2 linked regions of the Saccharomyces cerevisiae S288C genome follow. The gene in region 1 interacts genetically with each later gene. Each region holds a gene or a part of one and is shown in the gene's direction. Other genes may lie near its edges. The genes, in order: IRC10 and ADY3.

Region 1 (12,871 bases):
CAATCCGGAAGTATACAATCAAATGCCTCGAGAAACAGCCGCTGGTCCTGCAAATATAAGGCCGTACGCTGGTCAGCCACACCCGGCGCCATTAGTGTATCCCCAACAACGACTACAACCACAACAACAGCAACCACAGCAGCAATATCATCAATACAATTTATATCAAAGAACTACTCCTGCTGGTCCAGATCCTTCTAATGTTATTTTACAAAGCAATCCTTATTTCAACGTTGCCCCAAACCAAGTGCCACAGCACAGAAATCCGGTACCAGGCGTCGGTTTTGCTCCGAATCCTTTACCAAACCAAAGCCCGATAACACAAGGATATAAGCCTGCCTATAAGAGGAGAATGCAAAACAAAAACTTGCCCCGAGCTACTACTTCACTGAACAATCCTTACGGATTTAGGTAAAAAAAGAAAAATGAAGGTTCTTTTTTTTTTTTTATATTCTACAAATCACAATAACCACCAACTTGTATTAAACCATATTTTATCATCTTCAGGAACTACTTATGCACAATATTCGTTCGCCAGTCTTTACTTGCGGTTCAATTTTATCCCATATAAATTTGTATTTTATTATCATACTACATACTTTATTGAAATCATATATTAACCTTTTCACTTTTCTCAAATAGAACGAGCAACAGGTCATATGAACGCTGACTAAATCTCTCAATTTTCTTCAAAGCATATTATAGTTCAAAATCGCGATGCGGTACCGTGAAAGTTTTGTCATCAAAGTAGGTCATCCAAAGCATCATTCTCAGATTCTGTTACTTCAACGATACTCGGCAAGTTGCTCTCTTCGTCATTAATATGGGTATTACTGCCGTCATCATGACTGTTATTAACTGTTTTATTATCATCATTGTTGTACTTGTTGCTACCATTATTACGACCACCACTGCCACCGCCATGTGGTTTCAACATAACAAAGAAAAAGAGCGCTATTACGCACAATGTTAGTAATAAAATGACTTTACATTTTTGAGTTCTCTTCTGGTAGTGTGTTGCTTTATTCAACTCTTTATCTGCACTTTTTAGCTCTACCACTGTATTTTCCAGATTATAATCAATCCTGTCCACAATAGTCCCCTGGTCAACAACCAAATCTTGCATTTCCCTGAAAATAGTGCTCACTTCTAATACACCCCTTGCCAACTGAGTAATTTCTTCGTCACGTTCTCTCAAATATGCTTCTGCAGAAGTGTCATGAAGCTGTTGCTGTCTCTGCAACGTCCTTTTTGAATAGTCTTCAATATCGAGGCCCTCTCTCTTCTCTCTTGCTGCCTCCTCTTCCTCATCATCTAATAATAGCGTGTTCTCTGCACTGGCCTTATTGCGGATAGGTTTCAAATCATCCTTGTTCAAGAATTTCAAGTAATTATTTTGTAATACTCTGAACTTATTACTTTCAGTTTGTATCTTTTCTGCATAGATCTTCTGTAGATTATCTAGTATAATCAGCTCTTCTCGACTTAATTGCTTACCATCCACAAATTGAGAGTTGTATATGGTCTTTAATCGTTTCATAACAGCGTAACATTTCTGCAGCATCTGAATTACTTTGAAACTTAGATCTTCAATCAGCGCCTCATCATGACTCTTGTCTTCAAAGCCAGGTAACGAATTCTTCCTATAAACCTTCGCCAACTGCTCACTTAACCGTCTCACCTCCAGAAGATAATCATCAACATCCTGCGCTATATCAATAAATATGGGTGGTAACGCATCACTGTGATTCTCATGCTTGTTTTTTCGTTCATCTGTCAATCTGGCCGATATATCGTGAGACATATTCATCATCGGGTATGTACCCATTTCAATATCTTGATCATCGCCCAAGGGTGCTTTCCCAGATGAGAAAGTTATGTTATGAGGGAAAGTCCTACGGTATGATAAAAATAAATTAGTTCTATCTCTAAACATGTTTGTAACGACTGCCTAGATCACAAAGCGATAAAATGTACATCAATTGGAGACTTTCCTGTCTTGCCGTACTTATAGTCTATTCTGCTATAATCTATACGCACTCACTTTACACCTTAAAAGCCCAATACAAACCGGTCCAACAATTATAATTCATCTATAGGGCATATACAAAAAAAAAAGGTAGGTGTAAAAGATAATAAAATACAACCCTATTAGCTTTGATAAAAAATTAGTAGGGTTAGAATGTCATATGGTAGGGTGATATAAACGCGTGAACTTTACGCGTTTATATGTACTAAGTTATTTTCGGTATTAGAGAATACCATATCAACGACTAACTCTTAAGCTTTCGATTGTATGAGCTGAAGAAACGGCCTGCTCATTACCAGGATATCTCTTTTTTTTAGACATCAAACAAGAAAATAAGGAACAAGAAATTTGAGGTACAATAATGACAGAAATTATTGATTTAGACTTGGTCGATGACTTTATCAAGAAACCTATGGTCAAACAACAGAAAAACCAGTCTTCAAAGCCTAGGGTAAAAAGAAGGGGTCAGTTGACCTTTGATGATTTCAGAAACATCAAAATTGTAGAAGAACCTGTTGTACTTTCTCACAATAGTTCAATTGACGAATCACTGGATGCTGCTACCCAAAATACTAAAAAGCGGGAGAAATATGAAGGTACCTGTGATGAAGAAATGAAAACTAAAGAAATGGAGGCAAATATGGCAAGCAAATATTCTAATATCAAAACACATTCGAACGACACTAACAAGGTAGAGTCGATCAGTGAACACACTACTTCTAATAATAGACCATTGAATACATTAAACTGGTCACCAAATATTCCTTTACGATATTCTGACTTTGCAAAGTTTATGAGTGATGAGACGGTAACGGAAAGCAATTGGGCGCCTCCCCTTTGCACCCCTCTCCCATATGCAGGCGATGTTATGAAGATCCTTTCTTTTATCGTCAAATTTAAATGGGTGTTCAGCGACGATCTACTGAACCTGTCATTTCAAGATGTGGAGATAGGACTAGAATTAAAGGTGGCTGGCCATTCTGCGAAGAATATTCGAATTTGTCAGGATAAAATGAATCTACTATTTTGCAGTCTTTTGAGGTTATTATTCTGCTCCGAGAAAAGAGCAGACAACCAAACTCATAGAAATTTCACGCTAAAAAGATTTCTTAGTTTGAAAAATCCATATGGAAAACTGGTTGGCAAACTCAGAAGCTTAATCCAGGAGTGGGGCTTACCAAAAGAATGGCGTGGTAATAGTGATATTTTATCTACTCTAAATTTTAATGGAGGTGGTTTGTTGACGATGGAACCATTAGATAGAATAATATTATTGAGATGCATGATCGATTGGAATTGTAGCTACTCCGCACTTTTCCATAATGAAATTCAAAGGCTCACTCACTTGAAAGGCGATACAGGGTTCAACCATCAAACTTTTCACGCCAGCAGGTTTGCTATGTGCGGGGCCAATAACATATTAGATAGTTGTGAAGTTTTATGCTCTTTGATGAGTCAAAAGTTGGAAAATCGAAAGAAAAGGAAGCCCAGCGACAAAGGAAAACTGAGTAAGATCAATAGTCAGATGAAATTTCTAAAGGGTGTTCGGAAATCATTGAGCGAAAAAGTAACTACAGACAGATTACGAGCTGCAGTTAAAATAAATGAAGAATGGGGTGAATATTTTGCAAACGAATTTACACACACACCAATTGATGATCCCACCGTAGACGAAATTTACAAGTTAAGGACATCAGAGTTTATGATAGCGAGAATTCCACGAGTTGGAGATTTCTACTTACCACCATTCTGGATTGGCAACGAATGCAGTTCAGTAAACACTAGTTACAGTTTCAATGACATGTCAACTTATCTTAATTACTTCGTAAAATTCAAAGAGGAGGGTACAAAAATACTGCCTGCAAAAACCGCACAAAATGAAAACAAGTGTCAACTTAAACTTATATATAGGAACACTCCTGCATGTATCCGTAATTTACAGTTCAATGATGTTCACTTTGCCGAGGTGCCGCATTGGTTTGAAGTTGCAGGAGACTCGAATTCTTTGAGCAACTTCATTGAGTATTTGGAAAGTTTATCATCACTTACTGAAAATGACACCGATGATACAAAAAAGGGTATAGACAATCTAATTGAGTTTTTGAAAATTTTCAGTATATTCATAAATGAGACTATTCAGCGCATAACTGCTGCCCCTACAGGCAGTACTGAAGGACGTCATTTGCGAACAAGCTCTCAGAGAAGAACCACGGTGCATTACTCGAGTGATGTAAATGGTGACGTTTCCGAGGAAAGTGAAAATGAAGTTGACATTGACGTTAGCGATGACTATGATTCAGAATATCTGAGTGAGGAGAATACATTGACAAGAAAAGGTGAAGATAGGACAGATAAATCTTTTGGGAAAAGAGAATTACACAATGGCGCTAAAGATTGTGATAGGAATTGTGATGATATAGAGATCTTCTCAGAACCCGTTAGGCAACTACAAGATAATTCTCGGGAAAAAAGAAGCTTGAGGCGTAATGCCAGAAAAGGTCTATAGTTTGAATGCCATGAAGTGTAGCTGCTGGTTACATAAAATCGTCACTAGCTTTACACATTAAATATTATATACGAATTTATGTACACGAATTCAAGTCCGTAATTTAGTCTTCTGACTTCGACTCCCGATCATCATGCAGTGTTTTCTTGCTATCGTCTTCCTCTTCACCAGCCAAAACTTTATGTTTATTCTTTGTTGCAGCTTTGACAATTTGAACAAAGGCATCCTTTGTTAATGCAGACTTCAATTTCATTTGCTCTTCTGTTAGTTCTCCCCCTTTCTTCTGAGATTGCAGACGTAAATCATCCAACGAATGTGTGACGCCGTCCAGAAGACTTTCATTGAGGGAATTCTCTTCTATATCGTTATCGCCATCGTCCCCTAATGAATACATATTTCTTAACCTCTTAATTCTATTATTAAGCTTCACAATTTCAATAGCGTCACGTAATTTCTTACGCAAAGAAAACCCTTTCTTAACGTCTGGTAAAATATTACTAGTTTCAACTCTCTTTGAAGTAATCCATGGATCGTCCAGCAATTCCGTAGCAGTTGGTCTGTCAGCTGGATTCAATCTCAATGCCTTCAAGATGAAACGCTTAACATCAATAGATATGTTATCCCAATATGGCATATGGAAGGTTACCGGGTATCTCGAAGCTGTACATTCCTCCATGAATCCTTCAACGCTTTCGGCAATAAAAGGAGAATAACCGCACAGTAAAGTATATGTGATCACACCAATGGACCATATATCACAAGGCTTACCATGTCCATCTTGTGTGAGGACTTCTGGTGCCACATAACCCAACGATCCGGCTGCTTTGTATATCAAATCCTCCTCCCCCTTCAATTGTTTAGCTATACCGAAGTCCGCAATTACCAGAGGCGAATTTTCTGACTTATCAACATACAAAACGTTCTCAGGTTTCAAATCCCTATGAACAACATTCTTGGAATGCATATACTCCACGGCACCAAGAATCTGAACTATGATTTCAACAGCATCCACTTCTGTGAACTTCCCTCTAGACAGAATTCTATCAAATAATTCACCTCCTGTTGCCAGCTGAGTGACAATATAGAACTTATCCTTCGATTCAAACCAATCCTTGAATGACACAATGTTCGGATGACTCAATTTTTGAAGAATGGACAGCTCTTCGTACAGCATCTGTAATTGCACATTGTTTCCCTGCAATGCCTTCTTCAATAAGATCTTTATAGCAACATCTTCATTTGTGGACAACTTTCTGGCTTGTCTCACAACACCGAAGGAACCGGCACCCAGTGTTCGACCGAAAATATAATTAGTCCTGTTGACGTAAGATTCAGGTTGACCGCTTAATTTATTGATAAATTTTGCTACAGGGTGGCCGTTTAGACGCTCTGGATCTTGGACATCTACATGAAATTCAGAATTTATGACCTCTGACTCCTTGGGCATTTTTGGTGTCTATATTTATATTGGCGATGTGATAGAAGAAAAGGTGACGAAAAGATTGATCAACGAATTGAAGTTCTGCTGATCTTGAACAATATCGTATTGTTTTATATTATTAGGATTACCAAGAGAAACAGCAATGGGTGGCTTCAAAGGGGGCAGGGTTCTAAGATAAGCCTCAATTATTCTCTTCGCGCTGCGTTAAAGCGGGCGCTTCTCCGAAAGTACAGCACGTTCTGAAAAGCCTCATCAACATAGAATCCATATGATGCTCAACGACTGGAAGTAAAAACATGAAAATTGAAAAAGAATATGCCTGCAGGAGCATTGGGAAGTACATAGTGGCTTATAGACTGCCAAAAAAAATCAGTACGGAAGCAAATGAACCTTATGTTATCCAGGGAGCGGTGAGTAACTGAGTAAAAACATTAGGCAAATTTCTTCCAAAAAATCATTGACATTGCCTGTCAATTGAGTAAATGAATAAATAAATAAATGCAAAAAAGCCAACCTAACTCTCCTGCAATGATACAATGAGTACTGTATCAACGACCATTAGTAAGTATCATGAAGTGTTTTGTATATTTGGAAAAAACCAGGCTGCATTGCCCCAGTGGTGTATTTATATCTACTGCAGTATGTTCTATTCTGTGAAGTTCCTAAAAGACACCGAGGTTTCTATGGCCTAACCATATTGTTGTTCTAACGCCTTTTCTATGTAAGGGTCCTTATTGTTCAAAGCCCCACCGCTCCTTCGCGCGTTGTGCCTATCATTGTGTCAGTAAATGTTAGGATACGGGAAGTGTATATATTAATTGAGTGGACACAGAAAACGCTCTAGAAAGGAATATCTCACAAAGAACTGTAATATAAGCCTACATTATTGATTTTTTTAGTTCTCTTGCCCTTATATTACCGTAAGTCTGCGGTATAATCACCTGGCCTAGTGCTTTTTCAATCATGTTCATTGAATACTCTAGATTACCAGGCTTCGAAAGCATCAATATATCATTTTCTAGAGGCATGCTAAGATTGGCTAAATTTACTAATTTCGCTACATACAAACAAAAATTAGAGTACTTCAGGCTGTTGGCAGGTTCAAACAAATACATCCAACGAATCAGCGTTGCTGACTTTGAGAGACATCCAGATGAAATCAATTATATTTACATTATACTAATATCCATTCTCCAAATGGAAGAGTGTATGCCAGTCCTAGTTCTATGTCCAACTGTTTATTGGGTACGATTCCACTGGCCTGGAAAATGTTCCGTGAACAGTTTGAACTTTACGAATGAAACGTTAAAAAGCGCTTTCCATGCTGTCTTCACTCCCTATTTTGCACTAATGAAAAAAGTTCTTGGAAGGATTAAAAACAACATGTTGCTATTTGCAGAACCTCATGCAAATTTAAATAATTTGTTTGTCAAGCATTTCCACGATCTCATATATAAGAGCGTAAAGGATGAAAAAACCGGCGAGGCAATTCTGTATTTGAGAACTAACGTTAATGTTCCAAATGTTTTTATTGACGATAAAAGAGCAGTTTTTCATGGTGACGGTATGAAAATTGGAAAATTTACCGGCAAATTTTTATGCTTTTCCTTCAAACGAACAATAAGATGGTCAAAATTAGATTCAGTGGATTCTTTTGCGGTTACGACAGTAAATTATAGAGTATCTGTAAATTGGGAAAAGACACCAAGAAAGACTTTCCTTTCTCTAGACAGTGACACCAAAAATTTACACTATATATCGAAAAAGATATTGAATAAAAAGGGAAAGAACGCCACTACATCAAAAACAACAAAAAGTTCATGCACAAGTGAGAACGTTTGCGATGATAAAACATTCTCCGTCGAATTCCCACTTACAACGTCAGCAAAAACTGAATATTTGTTGAGAAGTAATTTTTCTTTAGAAAAAATTAATGAAAGCAACAATCCTACCCTTCAAGAACTTACTTTAAACCGTACACATCGCTTATACCGATCAAATTTTCGCAATGAACAAAGCACCACACAGAGGAAGTTTGAAAAAATCGGTAGAACTGTCTCTACTGATTCAGGCAATAAACTGCTTACGTTTCCGGAACAAAAGGCCACAAGAGATAGTAACCCCTTCTCAATCGAATTGACACATGCAACAGTAATTTCCAGCGACGAAAGTGCCTTAAAAGACACTACTAATCAAGCGATAGCCGAAATGCAACGTATAACTCCTGCTATTGCAAAGACAATCTCGAGAAGAACAGCAAATTGGGTCTGCTCAAACCCAGCTCCTGATCCGTATGGGGAACCTTCAACGTGGTCCAGAATTTTGACCCCTAATTTGAAAATAATATCGGAATCATCACCATATTATCCAGTCCATCTAGCTTCACCAAATTCTACCTTTAGTAGAGATCAAAGTGTAAGAAGTGTTGTCATGAGGAGAAGTTCTGTATGTGTTGAAAAACAAAATAGTTTCTTCAGAAATTACGAACATTTCAAAAATATATTGTCGAGAAGAACTATTAAGGTTAAGACATCATGTCCTAGGCTGAGCGTTGACGTAAGTGACAACAAAAGAGAAAATTTATCACAAGAACACCTCATTTTACCGAACAAATCTAGAGAAAAAGTCAACCGATTTAAAAATTGCCTACATAGAGTTGCAGAAGCGCTCAGAGCTGCCAAAGAAAACTGGGATCAGCACAATCCCAGGAACTCTATTCATTAAGTACTGTTAGTTTTTATTTTGGGACACCCTTGACATATAGTTTAGAACTTTACCTACTTTACCCTTGTAAAGTTTCTTTCCTTACTTAGCGAAACTGTACTGAATAAGTTGTGTAAGACAGAATCTTTGATTTTTTCCAGGAATAATCATCACTGCCTACTGCTACAACAGACTAGTTTACTCTCCCTTTTTTCCGTTTTTATTCCGACAAGGGGCATGAACATTCAATACTAAATTCTTTTGTGCTTTTTTTGGGAAGCCTTTTCTAATAAGTACCAGAAGACACATTTTTATGTGACACTACTTTAAGCCTCGAATGTTTTTTTGTGCCCTATTATTTCTAAGCAAAATATTAAACAATCTAGGCCGTAATTAAAACGCCTATCTTGGTACAGTGTTACAGCGGCTTATACAGTTTATGTTAAACTTAAAATTACATAAAGTTTCGAGAACTTCCCCTTAAGAAGGGTCCGGGCGCAGGCAACTGAGCCTACTCGGAATAAACATCGATGACCGTTTTTGGAAAAAGGGTTTGTCGCGGCATATAATGGATACTGAAGAGGTCGCCTGAAAACCTGAAAATTTTTTAGCCACCATAAATAATAAATAGTTATATATATTAAAACATCATTTGCTATTTTATCAAAATTCCGTTGTAGCGTGGTCAATTGTTCAACTATTTCAATTGTTCAGAAAAGTGAAGCTACTTAAAAGTAGAACAAAAAAGAGTTACTCGAACGTTGAACTCTTTGATTATTTAAAGATTTCAGTTTAACAAAAAAAGTAAAGTAACGTGAGAATGTCTGATTCAACAACTTCCCCCACAACCACATTTTCTACTTCATTATCACCAAATGCGACCACATCATTTTTTTTGTGGTAACATGGGAGTGATGTATACGGCCATGTCTGGATACGAAACAGAAGACGCACAAGCCTACTGGGCATGCGGTAGAGCATATGAATCAGCTTTTGCAACGTTGACTAAAAAGGTTCCAGGAACCACATTCTCAGCTGATATGCCAACATCTACTTGGCATGGTGTCCTGGATTGCGGCTATTCCTCTTCAATTAACGTGGCAGAAAATAAAAGTTCGCCCATCGATTATTGGAATTGTGGTAGAACATATGCCAGGAATTATGCTCTGTCCGATGCGCTTTCACTGAAGCCAACGAATATGTTACAGTACTTTCTATTAGTATTATTTTTTATCTGCATTATACTATGAGAAAAGCTCATTAATATTTGAGCACTTAGATAAAGTTGCATATGTGTATGAATACATTCTGAAGCAGCCATTAATTATTAATTTATTCAAGGGCATAATCAGTCCAAAATTTATGTTTTTACAATTATTTTTTTTCTCGTTGTTGGTTTCTAAATGACCTAGGAGAATTATGTATAGAGATTAGAAGCTTTTCGACAATATAGACTTCATAATAACGAAATGATTTTACTTATGTCTGCAATTATTTCCTCATGCCTTCCTGTATTATCGCTTGTTAGTCCTAGTACGTTATTTGCACGCCTGTTCCGACTGAATTCGATGAGAGTTGGAATCTATGTCACATTTAGCACCGTATAGGCTAATATTCTAATAAGCGTGACAAAAAATTGGAGTGTTTTACTTGTAATTGATGAATATCAATTCAATGCCCCCATAGCTTTTTTTTACGGGTGATTCTTTTTTTATTGTATTTTTCCACCACGAACCGTAGATGGCTTATTGCATTTCTACATGAAAGAATAGTAAATGTGTAGCCTTTGTTACGTGAATAACTTACTTATCCAAGTATTAAAAGAATTTTGGACCAGATTTCTTCTTCTATTACTATCCCTCTAATTGAAATATGAGTGATTTTGAGATAATTGTTGGAATTTCATCGTTGTTACAGGTTATAATATTAAATATACAAAATATGCTGGAAGTTCTTCTTGAGTATATAGGAATTCACAAAAGGAGAGTCGATATATCTACATATTATGATAATGTTTACTTCTTCTTCCATTTTATATGTTATCATTTATTATCCTATTGCATTATCAACCTTAGGATTTCTGCTTCCTTTATATGTGATAGCTGTTCCTTAATCATTATGTCACCTTCCTATGCCGTATGTGATAATATACTAGTAACATGAATACCAATAATAAGTGGATGGTACTAGAATTACATTTCAACATAGGCTGAGTTGCTTTGGAAGGCCATGATGTGTATTATAAATTCTGAGTCTTTTCATGGTTCTCAGAAAAGATCGGGCGTGTGGTCTAGTGGTATGATTCTCGCTTTGGGCGACTTCCTGATTAACAGGGGGACAAAGCATGCGAGAGGCCCTGGGTTCAATTCCCAGCTCGCCCCCTTTTTTACTATTGAAAAGTATTCGGTCAGACGTAGCTGATCGATGTAGCATGTGTACGCATTTCTAGATATCGAGTAATTTCCGCTGATGTATAATATATATATATGTGTGTGTGTGTGTGTTTTTCATCCAGTAGTTTTTTTCTTTAAAAAAAACTATGTATAATATAAAACATGCAATCTAGATATGCTGGATAAATTTATCTGGTATGACAATTTTCTTGGCAATTTGCTCGCCCCCGTCTCCATGCAGAGAATTTACTTCGTGATTTTCTATTGTTAATTTGACAGGAATACCATTTTCTTTCTCATCTGAATTTGTGATCAAAAATTCGTAGGCTGATCGGCTTGACCCAACAGAATTATCACCAGTTTTATGTAATGGGAACGTATACCACGTAGGAGATGGTGTAGAGGTTGACCTTGTTCTCATTGCTAATGTGTCTATATTTTGAGTAGGCACTATCCTTATATCAGGGGAAGTTGTTCTTGTGGGAAGTAGATCTACTTCGTTTGCGAAACCTTGTTGATCTGTCGCTATCCCAGTGCTATCTGTTACGGTGGTCTGTGTCGTGATATCACTATTGGAAGTGAAAGTCGTTTGCACAACATTACCTTTTTCATCAAAGACAGGCAATCTACAAATAGGACAAGTCTGAGAACGTTCCATCCAATTCTTTAAACACGACAAATGAAGTATGTGGCCACAAGGTAACCTTTTGGGTTTCTTGTTTTTATTCTTCCACGTCTGCTGGTTTGGAGAATGTATTAACTCATCCATACAAATGATACAAATATTGTCATCATTTGCAGAATTTTGTAGCTGTTCTACGGTGACAGTGACAAGAGTGTCGTCGAGCTGTTTGTTATTTCTCCAGATTTTCCACAAACTTGTGCCACTTTGATATAGTGCCAAGATATCCCACACCACATCTTTCAAAAGCATCATAGGCATCCTAAATGGTATTAGCATAGACAAATGAAGTGCCGTTTTTAAGAATCTTGTGAATACGTCAATTGCTTTTTCATACATGAATTTACCCTCCAGGCCGGTAAATTGTCTATCATCATCGTCGTCATCGTCGTCGTCATTCAGCACTGGCTGAGATTGATCAGACTCAACCGTGTTTTCATCTGTAGGATCGCCATGGACAATATGGTTGTTCTCATTAGACAGACTTTGTTGTGAGCGATAAAATTCCCAGAAATTCAAACAAGTCTGTAGGAATAAATTTAGCAAATCAATCAAAAGCATGGTAAACTCCATTACTTGTATCAGGTAAAGGGATGTGGATTCAATATCACTCTTTTGGTTTGTATATATGGAGGAGATGCATCGTGTTATTATCTGGTAGTCTACAACCGCCAATAGTACGAGGTTAAATGAGAATCTACTAAAGATAAGGGTTTTCATTGTGGTGGAATCATTTATTGACTGTAATAAGGCCTCCAGCCTATCCTTTAAAATCCAATGGAAAACTTTCAGATAGAGTAGTAATAGTCCAAAAAATGCCACTGTGAAAAAATACCGTTCGTGGAACAGTGAGGACATAAACAAGGTGTTTATAATGGTAAATGGTAACCTTTCAAAAATGTGCTCATGCTCAATAAGCCTCAGTTCACCAAATAATAGTTTCGTTAGGAGTTGCCATAGTAAGGTAGAATTTAATAAGATGAATATCGACAAAACCATTAGATTGAAGCCTTCATTTAGCTTCAGTGTTACTTGCAAAAAGGAAACGCTTGTCTTGGTGGCTGAATACACGCAATAAAATGTGAGCAAATATGTGACAACTACAAAAATTGCCAAC
Region 2 (17,739 bases), on another chromosome or scaffold:
ACTTTTTACTATACCTTATAACTGCATCAGGTGTAAAAATATCTGATATTAATTCTGTCCAGAATGAAAGCAGGCCAATCTTACCCATTGCCGTATTCACCTCATTTATTATTTCGTACAATTTCAACATCGCCAAATTAGATAAGTATTTTCTTACATGATACGGCACCCGTAACATAGATAAAGATGCCTGGGATGCAGACCGTGGTAACGGAGCAGCTGCCGTTGCTGCTGTAGCCATGGGATGGGGAAAGGATGCTACCGGCGTAAACATTGGCATAGACCCGCTGCCAGGGCCCCCAGTTGCATTCGTATTCTGCGCAGAGTTGTGAAAAGTTTGAGTCACTTGTGGAAGCTGGTTAAACACCTGCTGTTCTGATGAAGGCTGTGGAAATTGACCCCCCTGTGGTTGACCTGGAAATGGCACTTGTTGTGGATAAACCGTGGGCGGTATATTCTGCTGCGCGGTGGGAGGAAAGTTAATATTACCATTTGGGTACGGTGGTGTGTTATTATTCACAATGTAAGGCATCGGCACAGCTTGAGGAGGCGGTTGCGGTGGGCCTTGGTACATATTGCAGATAATCTTTGCTTTTCCTTCTGCCCCATGAACAGTGTCAAGTGTTGTCTTTATTGCTCCATAGTTAATATTTTTAGTTCAGGCGGGAAGCCCCACAAGATGAGAAAAGAAATCCGAGAGGCTTAAACAATACTATATGGGGCAAAGTTCTGCTCTATATAAAGAGAGGCGCATTTGCAAGAAATAGTTAAGAACTTTCCATAAATTGGTCAGATATAAATCAATTTATCGTGCTCAAATATACTATTCAGTTTCTCAGATATAGGTTGCACAAATTGGCAAAGTTCTACAAGAGTCATTCATACATCCCCTGATGAGTAAGATACTATTCTGCAAATCTAAAGTGTTCTTACACCCAACAAGCGATGCTAGAGATAATATTGCTGGTTTCCTGCTACTCACATTGGAAGCGAATAAGCTATCCCACCAAGCAATTCTCCAATATATCCCAGAATCTGGCTTATCCACATTAGAGATATCAAAACTACTAAAACATGAAGCTAAAGTGGGCACATGTCCAACTTCTACACCATTTGTTATTGAAAATTCAATAAACTTTAGTAACCTGGTCAATACTTCTTTAGGTCAAGCTTTCGAAATTTCTCTCTCACAAATATACTGCATCCAATTTAGGCCTCCTAGTCCAAATGGTTGGTATGTCGGATCTCTGGTAATATATCCCTTGACAGAACAGTTTACGGGCTTTCAACCTCCTGTCTTGTTCTTTCATGACCAACTCTGCCCATCAACTACGGACAAGTTAAAAAGACTACGCAAATCCATGAACCCATTTGATGACTCGGACGAATTGTATTGGGGTGGCGTAGATTTGAGAAACAAAATCAACGAACTGATGGAACTCAAGAAATCAAACTTAGAGCCAGAGTTTTGGTTAGTAAATCCCTCTTTGAATGATTTGAGAAATTTCGTTTCCAAGGATCTATTGGAAAGTTATAACAATTCGAAGAAAGATACAACTGAACTCGCTACCGCCGGTGTGAAACTAAACGAGAAATTCCAAGAATGGAAATGGAACGTAATGAGCAAGATAGCAGACGTGACTACCAAGTCTACCAATTTTATCGATAGTTGGCTGACTAACAACTCACCCATACAAAAATCACAAATCGACAATGAATACTTGCAAAAGCTTCTGAACAATGAGAAGGTTAAACAAATTGAACAGGATTATGACTCTGCAAGAGTGTATTTGGCAAACTGGTCATTAGGAGTAAAACAGGAAGCTGAGAGGTATCAAAAGCAGAACAAACTCTTTGATTCGTATAGGAATAACATTTTCAACGACCTGAATCTAACTGATGAATTAAGTGATACTGAAATAAATAATGCTCTGCAAAGACAATTTCCTTTAACGGAAGCGAAATGGAATTCGCTATGGGATGAGAACGATGGGAGGCTGAGGGTCACGGTAAACGAAGTTAAGGATTTCATATTTCATGGTGGGTTAGAAAATGACAGTTTGCGAGGGAAAGTTTGGGGTTTTCTCTTAGAAATATATCCGTGGGATTCTTCTCAAGACGAGAGGGTACAAATCGATCAAACTTTAGCCGCGGAATACGATCAATTGAAACTAACCTGGTCAAAAGATTTTTTACAATTTGACGATGAAGATGAAGAGGAATATTGGAACGATCAATTATTCAGAATATCTAAAGATGTGAGACGCTGTGATAGAAACTTGGAGATATTTCAATACAATACCATCGATGGATTACCACCACCGCCACAACAACTCCCAGCAAATGAAAATAACAGTACCAGCCCCGAATCCGCTAATGACGAGAGCGATGATGCAGACGATGGAGTCAGGAACCCACATTTGATACATTTACAAAACATTCTTATCACTTATAATGTCTACAACACAAACTTAGGCTACGTGCAGGGGATGACCGATCTTTTATCGCCTATTTATGTCATCATGAAGGAAGAATGGAAAACGTTTTGGTGTTTTACGCACTTCATGGACATTATGGAAAGAAATTTTCTAAGAGACCAGAGTGGCATCCATGAACAAATGTTAACTCTCGTGGAATTGGTACAATTAATGCTACCCGAATTGAGCGAACATTTAAACAAGTGTGATTCAGGAAACTTGTTCTTTTGCTTTCGAATGCTTCTAGTATGGTTCAAGAGAGAATTTGAAATGGAAGATATTATGCACATTTGGGAGAATTTCTGGACTTTCTACTACAGTTCACAATTCCAATTATTCTTCATGTTGGCCATTCTACAGAAAAACTCACAAGCTATTTTACAACATCTAAATCAGTTCGACCAAATATTAAAATTTTTTAATGAACTTAACGGGAAGTTGGATTGGAATGACCTAATGGTTAGAGCAGAGCTTTTGTTCAAGAAGTTTGAGAAAATGATGCACGTCATGGAAAGAGATTTACAAAACGTATCCTCCTCTTCATCCTCATCCTCTACCGGCGTATTGCCTTGTCAGAGCGAGAGGTTGACCCTGCTTCTTTCTAAAAAACCTATCATAAGACATGAAGGGCAAAGGAGCAAAAATTCCGTTAAATAGTGGTAAATAGAAACGGAACTTTACATATTGAATACCGGAGATATAATTCGTTTATGCCACATAATCATCAATACATCCGTAACCCGCCCGAAACGGAAAAACTGAAGAAAAATTACATAAAAAGTTTAATATTTTTATCAAATTTAATTGAACCTATATTTAGGAACATTATTGTTTTTAATTTCTAAACCGGTTGGGTTGGTCGATAGTTGTGCTCTGGATCATTGATAACCACTGACGTGTAATAGTTTTATTTCTTTGAAAAATTCAAAAGAAATAACAACACTCGTTCTCGGAAACAAGAAAATACACACAATAATGTCTACTATTCCCTCAGAAATCATCAATTGGACCATCTTAAATGAAATTATATCTATGGATGACGATGATTCCGATTTTTCTAAAGGTCTAATTATTCAATTTATCGACCAGGCACAAACAACTTTTGCTCAAATGCAACGACAGCTGGACGGTGAAAAAAATCTTACCGAATTAGACAATCTGGGCCATTTTTTAAAGGGTTCTTCTGCTGCATTAGGCTTACAAAGAATTGCCTGGGTTTGTGAAAGAATTCAAAACTTGGGAAGAAAAATGGAACATTTCTTCCCCAACAAGACCGAATTGGTCAACACTCTGAGCGATAAATCGATTATTAATGGAATCAATATTGATGAAGATGACGAGGAAATAAAGATACAAGTGGACGATAAAGACGAAAATTCCATATATCTCATCTTGATAGCAAAAGCTTTGAACCAGTCTAGGTTGGAGTTCAAACTGGCGAGAATTGAGTTATCTAAATATTACAACACAAACCTATAATCGTCATCATTTTATTCACACCTCCGGATAATCCATTCTTCCCCGGAAAAACACATGTACAATATATATTATATATATATATATATGTATATCAAATCATACAACTTACATAAAAACAACAAACCTGAATATTTTTCCTTTTCAAAAAGTAATTCTACCCCTAGATTTTGCATTGCTCCTCTATAACTCATTATTGGTTAAGGTGTAGATGTCACCAAGTTTATCAATGTAAAATTTAGGTCTTGGATAATCGTGCGAAATCTTCAAGGCTCTCTCTTCGGTTTCAATACCACTCAAAACGAGTAGTGTGCCACCTAACCCACCTTCAACACCGAATTTCATATCGGTGTTTAATCTGTCACCAACCATACAGCACTTTGATCTATCCAGGTTGAATGCCGATATAATGCTGTTTAGCATATTTTGATTTGGCTTACCACAGTACGATGGCCTCCTATTAGATGAGAATGCCAATGATTCAATCATGGAGCCTGCACCGGGAAATGTATAACCCTTTTGCGGGAAAGTAGAATCAACATTTGTACCAACAAAGTGAACAGAATCCTTCTGCAAATACTGCAGTGTAACAGCCAAACGGTGGTAATTTACCTTCGTGTCTAACCCAGCAATAACACAACTAACATCCTTATCAAGGCCGTTCACCAAAAATGGTGATTTAGCTGCATCGAACGGCGTATCCAATCTGGAATCGGCACCTCCTAGAGATTCGTACCCCATTAGTTTCAATTCTTCACCAATACCGCTTTCTCCAAATACCCATACCTTATCTTTGCCAGGCTGCAATTTCAGAAAGTCACGAATATAAACAGCTGACGCATAACCAGAGGTGAAAATCTGTTCTTCTTTGACATCAATACCAAACGAAGCAAACTTTTTCGTGTATGCTAAACGGGACTTGGTAGAGTTATTCGTAACGAAGATCAGTTGTTTGCCCAATTGCTTCAAAAGGTTTAGAATTTCCAGGGTGTATGGTAATGCTTGAGAACCTAACCATAATACACCATCACAATCGAACAGAAACGTGTCATATTTGTCCAAGAATTCTTGAGCAATCTCCTTATTGGTTATCTTTATTGGTACACCTTGTTGAGCAGTCATTTTCCCGAGTTGTATATTCTTTGTCAGGGCAAGCTATAAGGCTTTTTTTGTGATTTGGCTCGAGCTTGATATTTATGTCTGCTTGTTATAAACCGATTGCGTCAATTACAATTGAAAAATTCACTAAAACGGAAAGAACATTCACCGAAAAAAAGAAAAACCGGAAAGTTAATAGATAAGGGACGTCATTAATATACGATTAAGTAAATACTGAAAACGTGCTGGAGAATAGTAAAGATGTCACATCACCATCTTCAACGTCTTCCTCTACAAAACTTGAGTTGATAAAGAAGCATAGTATACACAAACGTATGTATCTCTTCAGAGAACTATATCCTGTGAGGGAAGATGAGACCATTCCCCATTATACTTCTTGAACGGGTAGTTGCGTCGAACAATCTACTTCCTATTCATATCTAAATGTTTATATAAATATATGGCTTTTCTTATCCACAGCTCAAGCCACTTATATCAATGACGATGCCATGAATAAATTGTCCAGGTTAAGTAAATCGGAACCCAAGTCATGAATAATTTGGCGAGAAATAGTTTCCACCAGGTTAGCTGGCCAGGTTGGGGCTCCCCAAATTCTTGTTTTAAGTTTCAATGCGTGAGCACCATCAATTATGCTTTTAGCACAACTGATCTCATTCGAATCCATACGACCTCTTAGCGATACTTTCCAATGATCAGAACCACAATGTTTCATTAATTGGCTGAACGAAACCGTCGCAGCTACAGATAGCTTTGAGTATTTGGGCTCCAAACTTAACAACGGCGCATCTAGAAATGCAAACCTTTGACTTGACTCAAAATAGCCGTTATCATTTCCATTGTCTAAAATATCCAATGACGTCGGGTAGTTGCCCGTTAGTATCACAGTAACAGGTCTCCAAATAATTTCATCCTTCTTCATATCGTAATATGTCAAATATCCAGAATCAATCAGAGATTTGAAATATTGCTCCATCAGCAGTTTATAAGTTAGTTCGTTATCATCCGACTTGAAATCAATATAAAAGAAGAGTGAAGTTTCTGGAGAGTTGAAAAATACACCATTTTTGCGATCGGCGTCTGAATCTTGGCAATTCACCTCGTCTAAAATCTCCAAGAGGGGGCCAGTGTATAGCTTGTCTAATGTCAATTCAACTGGGTCCAAATACGCTTCATTATGACCCACAGCTAGGATCTTTTCATCTATATTCCACACGTCGGCTTCAGTACTACTAGCACCATAGGCCAGACCTTCAAAAAGCGGAAGTTTCCTCCAGTAGTCATTATGGGAGTGAACTGGCATTGGGTTAACATCTTTGTTCAACTTTGCGATAGCAGAGTCTACTGGTAAACACTTTTTTGAACTGGCACGACGTAAGATATATTCTTTGAATACATCATAATATAAAGAAACGTGTTTGTGACGATACTTTTCCTCTGAAAAACTTAGAAATGGCAAGTTTTCCTGGAAAAATTCTAAAAGATGTTGACCGGTCAACCCAAAGTTATCAATATTCGATATTTTCTGGTCCTTTAACTTTTCCCAATCAGTTAATGAAGGATTTCTTCCCCTACTGGAAAACAAAGCACAGACAGCAATAACGTATCCAATAAGAATAGTTAGACACCCTTTCAGTCCTAACATCGCTTAACTAAACCGAGGTACTTATCTTTGTTGGTCTTATCTCGAGTCATATTTTATGCCTATCCGGCGATTTATCACTCGGAAGTTTGGATAGTTTCGGATTATAAAAGGAGACAAGATAAGGATTTTAAAACAGGCCATTGGCAAAAGAACAACATTTTATTGAATGAATATATGAATTGGGCTGTCCTTTGAAGAGGATATGACAAAAAGTGATTTATTATTTGATAAATTCAACGACAAACATGGAAAGTTTCTAGTTTTTTTTGGTACCTTTGTAGATACCCCTAAATTAGGAGAGCTGAGAATCAGAGAGAAAACATCTGTTGGAGTTCTCAACGGAATCATCAGGTTTGTGAACAGAAATTCACTCGATCCTGTCAAAGATTGTTTAGATCACGATAGTAGCTTATCACCAGAGGATGTCACGGTGGTTGACATAATTGGAAAAGACAAGACTCGAAATAACAGCTTTTATTTTCCAGGTTTTGTTGACACGCATAACCATGTCTCGCAATATCCAAATGTCGGCGTATTTGGGAATTCTACCCTGCTGGATTGGCTAGAGAAGTATACCTTCCCCATAGAAGCCGCACTAGCAAACGAAAATATTGCGAGAGAAGTTTACAATAAGGTAATAAGTAAGACGCTTTCTCACGGTACAACGACTGTGGCTTACTATAATACCATTGATCTCAAGTCCACTAAGCTCTTGGCTCAACTAAGCTCCTTATTGGGGCAGCGTGTTCTTGTTGGAAAAGTGTGCATGGATACCAATGGTCCCGAGTATTATATTGAAGATACTAAAACTTCCTTTGAAAGCACTGTGAAAGTTGTTAAGTACATACGGGAAACCATTTGTGATCCCCTCGTAAATCCTATAGTGACACCAAGGTTCGCGCCCTCTTGTTCTAGAGAACTAATGCAACAGTTGTCCAAGCTAGTCAAGGATGAAAACATACACGTTCAAACCCACTTGTCGGAAAATAAGGAGGAGATACAGTGGGTTCAAGATTTATTTCCCGAATGTGAGAGCTATACTGATGTATACGACAAATATGGGCTGCTCACAGAAAAAACAGTATTGGCACATTGTATTCATCTAACAGATGCCGAAGCGCGTGTGATTAAACAGCGTCGCTGTGGTATATCTCATTGTCCCATTTCCAACTCCTCTCTGACTTCTGGAGAGTGTAGGGTTCGATGGTTGCTGGACCAGGGCATAAAGGTTGGTCTAGGCACCGACGTTTCAGCCGGTCATTCTTGTAGCATACTCACCACCGGAAGGCAGGCCTTTGCAGTTTCAAGGCATTTGGCAATGAGAGAAACTGATCATGCAAAACTTTCAGTCTCCGAGTGCCTATTTCTTGCTACAATGGGCGGAGCACAAGTCTTGCGTATGGATGAGACCTTGGGGACTTTTGACGTCGGTAAGCAGTTTGACGCTCAAATGATCGATACCAATGCTCCCGGCTCAAACGTGGATATGTTTCATTGGCAGCTAAAGGAGAAGGATCAAATGCAAGAGCAAGAGCAAGAGCAAGGGCAAGACCCTTATAAGAACCCACCGCTGCTTACTAATGAAGACATAATCGCAAAATGGTTCTTTAACGGTGATGATCGCAACACCACTAAAGTTTGGGTAGCCGGCCAGCAAGTCTACCAGATTTAGTTGTATATGTTTAGAGGGCTACTATATCTTGTTCCAAGTATTAATGAGTAATTTGAGTATATGTACAAATTTCTTTTGCGTATCGCGCTTTAGCCGCCCATTGTACAATATTAAGATTAGGAACACAAAGAGATTTGCCAGTGAAAGAATTGCAAAACTCGGTTTGGGATTTTGAATGGGATAGTTGAATACAACAAACTTCTCCGAATATGAATCATTGGTTAGCATTTTTGAATAAGCCTGAATCCCTAAAGGAACAAAACTCGGATTGCGACCAGCAGGGGGAGATGAGACATGTTACTGATGGCACTTTAACTAAGTCTCCAGAAAGTAAACCTTTTCGAGAGCGGCGTTCACAAACTTGGATAGACTCTGAAGTACCTACGTCCACTGAAAAATCTAATGTGCAGGAAAGTATTTCTTCTGATATTATATCAAAACTGTCGAATAGGCGTTCCCGAAGAAACCGCTCAGAGAGTTGGGCAGGTTCAGAAGCCTCTTCACCTTCTGGTAACATTAGTACATTGGAAAATGCTACGGAAAAAAATACTTTAAAATCGCCTAATAAATTTCTACAAAGGGGTGGTTTACCAACTGTAGGAATAGGCTCGCAGGCTCTGTCACCTGCAGGAAAGCCCAGTACATTAGGAAATGTAAGCCCTGGTAAATTTACCACATACAAAGTACACAATAGTATTGAAGTGAATAGATTTTCTTCTACACCTACAAAGCTCCTCACGAATCCCCACAAAGTCGCAGCAATCTCAAATGATGAGCATTATGTTGTAAGCAATGAGAGTCTGGAGGAGAATATAGAGGTTGCGCATCTAGAGAACGTATTTCGCTCATCTAAAACTCCAGATGAAGAACAGTCCGAATATATGAAATTAGGAGAAATTAGGCTATCTTCTTCATCATATGGAGGAAGTATTTCTAAAGAAAATAGTTTACCCAAGGTATTAGATGAGCTCCAGTCCCAAAATGAAGAGATCAAAGCACTAAGACAAAAACTAGAAGAGAAGGATGACAGGATTCAAGAACTAGAAGAACTTAATAGCATGAATGATGCTAAACTTCAAAGAATAGAAGACTTGCAGAAGGAATTCCACAACGAAAGAAAAGCTGCATCAAAAAGGCTCAACATTGTTCAGGACCGGTTTCGCAAAGAAATTAAAAAAATTAGAGAAGAAAAAATTACAGACTTTCAAAACAAAAACGCTAGCAAGAAGGAGAAGAATGAAGTGACTAGTGCCAAAACTAAATGTAAAGCTTTTTCTCAAAGAAATATTTTAGTTTCGGAACTATACAGGAAGCAAAAACAAATCCTAAACTTGCAGCAAGAAAATGATAAATTTCTAAAAGATATTAACGAATCGAATAACTCTATAGTAAAATTAAGATCTGAAGTTGAAATACTGAAAAGCAATTTGCAACTTTCTCAAGATGAAAATAAAAAATTACATGATAATGGTTCGTTTTACGAGAAAAGGTTAAATGATGTTTACAGCTATATGCAAAATCTTTCTCTTTTTGAGAAAGACCTTGGTAAATTCATACTAGAAGAAATGAAATGTGGCCATTCCCCTTCGATGTTTCAAAACGGTTTTGCCAAGCTTTATCCGGATTTTCAAGATATCAAAAATCTTGAAAATATGGAGCAATACAAACAATTAAAAGGAAAGATAGAACTTTTGGAAAAGAATGACCGTATACGTCTTGAAAAAATCATTTCTGTCTTTAAATTGATTAATGAAAGATTACATTTTATGCAACAGCAGCACAGTCACAAAATAAAATATCTTCAAAAAGAGGCGTTAACAAAAGAACAACAATTTCGTTTGGAAAAAAGGAGATGGCATGATATCCTGAACCTCAAGGAAGAAAACTTTCAAAAACTGAAGAGCGAGTTAAAAGAAAAATTAATACTAAGTGAAAAAATTCAGAAAAATGCCGAAGATAAATTGAACGATTACATGAATGAACACCAGGAAATTGTTGAGAAACTTCAGAATCAGGCTTTGATTGCTTCAAGATGGAGCACTCAAATTCAAGAGTCAGAAAACACACATAAGAAAATTACTGACGAGTTAGCTGGAAAACAAAGTGAAATATTAAAACTCGAAGAAACAATTCTATCACTAAAAGAAGATGTATTCCAAGAGAAGCTGAATTTAAAAAAACTATATGGTGATCCTTCTACCGAACTTAATTTTGAAACTGTTGGAAAATCTTTTCCACATATAACGAAGGAAAAGTACGACTCCTTGGGTCTTGATATTCTGACAGACCTTACCTATGTGCAATCGCAAAATCTAATCAAAAATTTATTAATTGTGTTGGATATCCCATTAAAAACCTTCTTAAAAATTGTACCAACAATTGTCATTCAACTTAGATGTGAGCTTACACTTCTCACAAAATTTGCTAATGATTTGAACCTTAAGGTTTTTGGTAAACAGTTAGATTTCAAAAGTAGAAGAAAGGTCGCAATGAATGAGTTTTTGAACAATCATGATATTGCTGAAGTAAAGCATCCTCTTGAGTATGATTTGCAAGCGTTGTTTAAATATTTCTTTTCTTAGCTTTTTTTTTTTTATTTAGAACTAATATATTCAATGGTGTCATTAATTATTATTTAGAGAATAAGTTACTGGTGGGGGGTGCACCTAAAATAAAGTCACATAATATAGAGCATGGCAGATATTTTACCGCTGGTATTGCTTTTCCGAAATTTTGGTGGAATATTCTTCTGAAAGATTTCAATTTGCTAACAGACTTCTTAAGCACTTACAAGAACAATGTAACTTCTGATCTGCTGTTGGAGATGTTCTGAGATATAAACAAAATTTACATCAAAAGGCGAGTAATACAATGATACAAATGATTATAAGTACATACTAATGTTACAATTTCTAATTCCATTTTAGTCAGAATATACTATGTTGTATAATAATAAAATAATGTCCATTTCCATAGCATACTGGTAAGATTTTATTGAAATAGGCAAAGAAAAAAGCAAAGAACTCTAATAAGAACGACAAACCTCGAAATCTGAGGGGAAGGAGAAGAAAAAAAGGAAAATGAGGGGAAACTTACAGTTTCTGCCTATTATTTGTTTATTTCACCTTGTATGACCGTTGTGGTCGAATCTTTGACTGTGACAGGAGTTTTTATGTCACATTCGGAATAATCGATTGTTTTACTTTGCATAACGGTGGAAATAAAATGGTTGATTGATTCGTAGTTATCTAATTTTTGTAACTGCACATCTTTTAAAAGATTCATTAAAAATTTCGGAACCATTGCCATTTCTTCATTGTGAGTAATCAGGTAATCAACTATCTCAATAGCCAAAAAGTAATTTTCTCCCTTGTTTTGAGCGAATGAATCAACTAAACCTGATTCTGGTTCGTCAGGGACGTTATCATTGGAAATTTCTTTATGTCGCAAATATAAAATATTAGGTGTTATGACTGTGGATAAATTGTGAATGTCCATTTTTGATCCCATTTCATTCTCAATGTAAGAGAATGAGGACGTCCAATGCAAAAATGACAAAAGTGCCTCCAGTAAATTGCGATTGTAAGTGGGTAATAAGGAATATATTAGCAATATAACACGCTGTTTCTCATCCTCTAAATCAATTTTCGCGGCCTTAATCCATAGTTCATATAAGTCTGTCGATAAAATCGGTTGGGGAAGCTCTCTGATAAATTTCTTCAAAAGAGCAGATAATTGGATTGCATTTTCTTTCGAGAAGTCTGGAGCTTCTGTTGGATTACTGTCGATGTTAGCAGTTAGTTCTCTCAGTCTTCTGATATTTCCATTTTTCCTGAAAATACCTTCTACTGACATATCCATTTGCCTCAAAGATGATATTAGCTCGTCAATAATTATGGGGATCCTAATCTTCACTGGCCCCACACCTAAATCGGAATCAACACCCCATTTCTCGCACAACACATCTAAAGGAGCACCAAAAACAGTCTTAGTGATGGGCTTTTTAGGCTCCATGCTCATCATGATTTTCATTCTGTTCCAAAAGCTACCTGTGACTTGCTTTTCATTCGAGAAGACCATTGAGACTAAGCTAGTATAGTTAGGATCAGTCTTCGATATCAGTTGTTTACCAGCTAGCAGTGACAAACTGATAGCCCTTATCATCGAGAGTTCCATCGTACTTAATTCAGAGTAATAAACTCCGCTTTTCTTGGGAACAACATTCGAAGTTTCGTCATCGGTTTCTTTTAGTTTTTTAAAGTGTGCAAAAGCGTTAGGTCTTAGCTCCCTTGCTTGTTCAGCGGCAACAATACGTGAAATATCATCTAGTGTCAACGTCTTAGTATTACTGAAAACATTTTCACGTGTGCTCACTTGTTGGCTCGATGATGGGTCATCTGTTTGAATCACAAGATTTTTACTATCTCCTTGTTTTGTCGGGTCATTTAAATCTGTCTCTGCAGTTTCCAGTATCACTGATTTTCTAGCTTGTTGTTTGTTATGAGTGACCCGAACACTTTCTCTTCTAGATCTCAATCTTTTAATATCATTCAGTGTCCTAATGTAAGTTTGTTCCTTTAGCATAGTACTCTGTAAAGAGTTTCTGCCTACCTTGTTAGATGCTTTCGATTTCAACATTACAGTTCTTGATTTGACTAGGGCAATTTTTAGAAGAAAAATTAGTTGTGCTAGCTTAGTAACAAATTTGAAACCCGGCACAGAGGCCGGATCATCAATTGAGCAGTGAGAACATAGTATCTTTTTTTTCTCTTTATTAAAGGTGGGATCCGTCAAACTCCTCGGATTTATATTCTTATGGCATGAAGAACAAGTAAAACAAGCAATATGCCACCGGTGCTCATAAAATTGAATGCATTCCTCCTGTATGTATTTATTGCATCCAGCGCAACTATCTGTGGCGTTAACAGGAGTCTTTATATACTGAAACGGGTTATTTTCAAAAAGCTCATTTTTCTCTACTTCTCTTAAAAACCTCAACAATGGATTAACAGAATGAGTCAACTTATTGTTTTCTAGAGCCGTATATAGCCCAAATCTTGTTAACAGTTTTAGAAAATGGGCTAATCCAGTAATAACAGACATAAAAGATGAAATTGTGATAGTTTCGTTTTTGTTTTCTGTCCCTAACTTTCTTAAGAGTTGTAAATATATCATAATTTTTGTGGACAGATTTTTGGGAAACTTGCTGTATTTACTGGCCGCCATTGCGTTGTTTTCAATGCATTCTTGATCACTGTTAACTGGCATACTTTTGTTCGTCGAGAGGTTTAAAGTATCCAGTCCCCGGAAAAGACAGTCGATTTTTAGTACCAACAGACCCGTAGACTCTATGCCCTTTAACTGATCATTGCTTGTCAAATATTGAAACATATCAGAAATGCAAGAAGCTGCCTCTTCCTCAAAACGATATAAAACCGACCACGTTTTAGATAGAATAAAGTTAAACGCCTGCATTTGTTTATCTAACTCGTAGGCAGTTGGGTTTATATCTTTGTCTCCGGAATTTGGGTTATATTCCAGCTTGGGAAGGTACTGCAAACCAACAGTTTCTGCTGCTAAATTTACATGCCAATATTTATGAATTCCATAACATTCCGGATGCCAACAATGTATTTCTTCACCTTTAGGAAACTCGATATATTGATCCGATATTGGGAACTCGCACCCTTTGCAACGTTTCGAAAAATACTTGAGAAAGTGGTACTTGCAATACAATTGGTTTCCGTACATGAAGCATTTTTTAACCCCACAAGGAGTAGCACATATTGTACAAGAAAAATGCTCTTCGTCGTATCTGTAACCGAATGCGGTATAATATAATCCACGCAATGGGGTATCACATACATGACATAACAAATTATGTCTTCTAAAATAATCGTATTGGCATAACAATATAGATTCACTTGTCTTGTCTACTTGATATGGGAAGTACTTCGGTTTTAAAGGTTTCTGACAGTCTTGGCAGGTAAAACAACTTTCATGATAATATTTACCGAGAGCCTTTAAAGTTGTTTTAGTTCGTTGGCTATCGGGTATAACTAACTTGTTACAACGGGCGCATATTTTCTTCTGATTCTTCACCTGCACGGTCATCGGAGATGCAGTATTCAGCGATCGATAACCAGCAGAATTTTGAATCATTGCTCACCTCCGGTACTTGTTGTTTGATAATTTGTCTGCTCTTTTTTTCTTTGGATTTGAATAAATACGGTTGCGTATATCTGGGATAAAGGCCAAATAACAATGTTAAGGCAAAGACGGATACTGTTTTGAATGAGAAGCCCAATTGCTGGTTTCTAGCAAGAACAGCCTTGGTTGGCTCGAGAGGAATGATTTACATATTTTAAATTCTCAAATGACGTTTCAGATTCTGTTCTTATTTGTTTTCCATTTTGTTTACATCTTCCGTGCCCATCAATACCCGGCATACTTTGAAGACGAAAAAGATACTTACATAAAGATAAGGATATACTCGCCAAGATCGATTTCTTGAAGTAAATACTTTGTGGGGAGGTGTTGTAGCGATGGGCTAACCTGCAAGCATTAAGTTATATTTACTAGTGAGGTACGTTGTAGAAAAGTGCGTTACAACGAGAAGTAATTCAAACGTAAGTAGCACATGCGGGCTTCTTGATATATTTGCTAGCTCAAAAAGCTAACTGAGTACAACATGGGGGCCACCCATGTTGATTATGTTCTGGTCGTAAAGTGATCTTTTACGGGTTATATTGTTTGCCCATAATTTCAGTTTTGAGGTGCCTATCGCTTCTTCTCGTTTTGTTTTGGGAACGTTTGAGTATTTACTTTATAGTGCACTTTTTTGCGTTTTCATCTCTTGACTGTTCGAAAACCAATGTTGGTGAAGGAAATAGCTAAGTATGACCTCGCCTTAAACCAATCTTAGTATCCTGTCTCTTTGCCACAGCTATTTCCTACTTCCATTAAGATCAATTTCTTTGCTATTGGAATCACAGGCGACTTAGAATGCATTTTCTATACTAGTAATTCGCAATTTTCTTGTTTTCCACAACGGTTTAATACTAAGCAGATGATATGACAATATGGCAAACATGATATACAGAAGAGAGCTTAATGGGACCAACTAAAGTTAGATGACACCATGGTCCAATTTTCTGAGCATGAACAACGGCAGAACAATAGCTGAACTGGACCGATTTGATTTTTGAACAGGAAATCTGTAATTTTTTATGCTTTGTTTTATGTAGCGATTTTATGATTATTGTTAATTATACATCTCACAAAAGCCAAGAAGAAATCTGAAAAAGTGAGCCCACACGTAGACTATTTGACGCTCATGAAAGTTGTCAAGCCTTGTGTTAGCGTTAACGTACTTCATTTAAAACATGGCCGCTTCGTGAGAAGTGGAAGCATAGTATCGATATTTTCTATAATCTAAATTATTTTAGTGCCCATAATGCAGTATACTGTATCGTATAGGAGTTCTGACTTGCTAATGTAACACAGTAGACTTCACCTTCACTTATGGATACCATTGGCTTATTAAGACATCAGAGTTCATTAAATGAATAGTAACAATCCTTGCGCAAAAAAAGGCGTCGATGACGCACTTTTGCGTTCAAGTTTTATATACTTGGAAAGCTATGACTGATGAGACGGACCTGTTTCGCATAGAAATTCGGTGCTTAACATGTAATTGCACCTTTGTTTTTGAGAAATCCATGAATTTCGCGGTAAAGGCTCGATTAATGATTATTCTATATATATGTACTATAAGCCGATTATCGCAGTTTTTCCAGCCTCCTTAGTAAATTACCCACTGTTTTAAGATGAGTCCTACTGACGGGTTACATTTTTATAGTCTTTCTTCTCAGGCGACCCAAAGTTCTGTCTGACTGTCTCGTATTATATGTAGAAACGATAAAAAATTATATGGTGGCTACTGCGACCACCAATCCAAAGTGTCATACCTTGAGAATTAGACAATTGTATACAACACTAGCATGAACAGTATGGTAAATTTGGCGAGAGAATGAGAAGGCCTTGTATTATGTATTCCCGCATTGGTTTCTGTACCTTTCCCTTGCAGAAAACCACATGCATAAAAGTCGCTTGCCACATAACTCGCATTTGTGAAGCCATGCGAACCACACGTAAACGTTTCAGGACTTTCAGCAGGCTGCCCAGTGAGAAATGTATCATAAAAAATTGAATAAGTTGGGTTCTTTTCTTTAGCAGTTTTCTTTCCTTCAGCTACCCCACAATTATAAATTTCTGTCGGCGTATAGGTTTGATTAATATAGCCCTTGCTACCGCACTTAAACAATAGAGCATTTTCAGTTACGTTCATTTTTTTGTGTCTCTATTATAGATTTTTCTTGGGTGTGATGCAAAAATCGCTGATAGGAATTATAATAAAGGAATATATATATATATATATATATATATATATATATATAGGTACTAATTGGCTTTTCTTATACGCCTCCTATTGATTCACTGCCGAAAGTGCCCTGTTATATACGACAATCATACGCCTGTTTGCAAATAGTCAACATATTCAACTCGGAAGGTAAAAGATGAAAAGGCAATTTTTTTGATTTTCTAAGAAAATGCGCAGCGGGCAGAAGGGTCTTCGCAGGCAACTGAGTAAAGAATATGAGAAAAGCCTCTAAATGTTGAACCCTGAAAAAGTTTCATCTATTTTTGATAAAGACTTTTCAATAGTGCAGGATCACGCAAGAAAAAAAAAGGTCCTTAAGAGCAATTGTGGGAAAATATAATACAATGCTTGCGTTAAAACTTCTAGTTACCTTTTACAACCGAAAGTAAACACTAGCATGGGCTTGGAGACGAGCAGCGCAAATTATATAGTTTGAGATAGAACGCTTTCTCCGGTATTGCCTGGGGAAAAGGAGTCACATGATTAGAATCGGCGAAATTTTTTTTCCAAAATTAACAGCAGGGTTGTCTGGATGTTTTATTGAAAATAGAAGCCAATGACAAACACAAGAGGCCAGTAGTATATTAATTTTAATGTGCATTCTAAAGCATCCTCACGTCTTTCAATCTGAAGTTACTGTTCGAGAAGGAGAAGAAAAGAAGGAAAAATGAAGGATATGAATAATAACATGAGTACTAGTTACGTCCAATCTGGTCACACCATATATTGATGCATCTTATGCGCCATAACTTCTTTTTTTGTAGCTATAATTTGTTGCCAGAAAAATGAAAACTTTTCAAAATCAACCAGTTTCCAATTTTTCTGCAACTCGTTATTTATGAAGATAGATGATGATTGACCCCCTTTCTCCAAAAATCGATGCAGCATTGGGTTATTTTTTGAGCTTTCT

Evidence for each region.
Region 2: of IRC10 (region 1) and ADY3, changing one enhances a phenotype caused by changing the other (phenotypic enhancement), as found in Saccharomyces cerevisiae (one study listed by BioGRID).

What each region holds. Positions count from the first base shown.
Region 1 is NC_001147.6:290,139-303,009, forward strand, and holds IRC10 (Irc10p), read left to right. Parts: upstream 1-6,939; coding exon 6,940-8,700; downstream 8,701-12,871. Other genes in the region: TOS7 (Tos7p), read left to right, coding at 1-415; t-SNARE syntaxin TLG2, read right to left, coding at 743-1,936; ESC8 (Esc8p), read left to right, coding at 2,391-4,535; calmodulin-dependent protein kinase CMK2, read right to left, coding at 4,639-5,982; YOL014W (uncharacterized protein), read left to right, coding at 9,555-9,929; E3 ubiquitin-protein ligase HRD1, read right to left, coding at 11,242-12,871.
Region 2 is NC_001136.10:19,632-37,370, reverse strand, and holds ADY3 (Ady3p), read left to right. Parts: upstream 1-8,595; coding exon 8,596-10,968; downstream 10,969-17,739. Other genes in the region: MFG1 (Mfg1p), read right to left, coding at 1-574; GTPase-activating protein GYP7, read left to right, coding at 894-3,134; YPD1 (Ypd1p), read left to right, coding at 3,453-3,956; PHO13 (4-nitrophenylphosphatase), read right to left, coding at 4,137-5,075; AIM6 (Aim6p), read right to left, coding at 5,542-6,714; GUD1 (guanine deaminase), read left to right, coding at 6,917-8,386; GTPase-activating protein LRG1, read right to left, coding at 11,495-14,548; YDL241W (uncharacterized protein), read right to left, coding at 16,365-16,736. UniProt on the Saccharomyces cerevisiae protein: Involved in the pathway that organizes the prospore membrane (PSM) during sporulation. Mediates the assembly of the DON1 ring structure at the leading edge of PSM during meiosis II.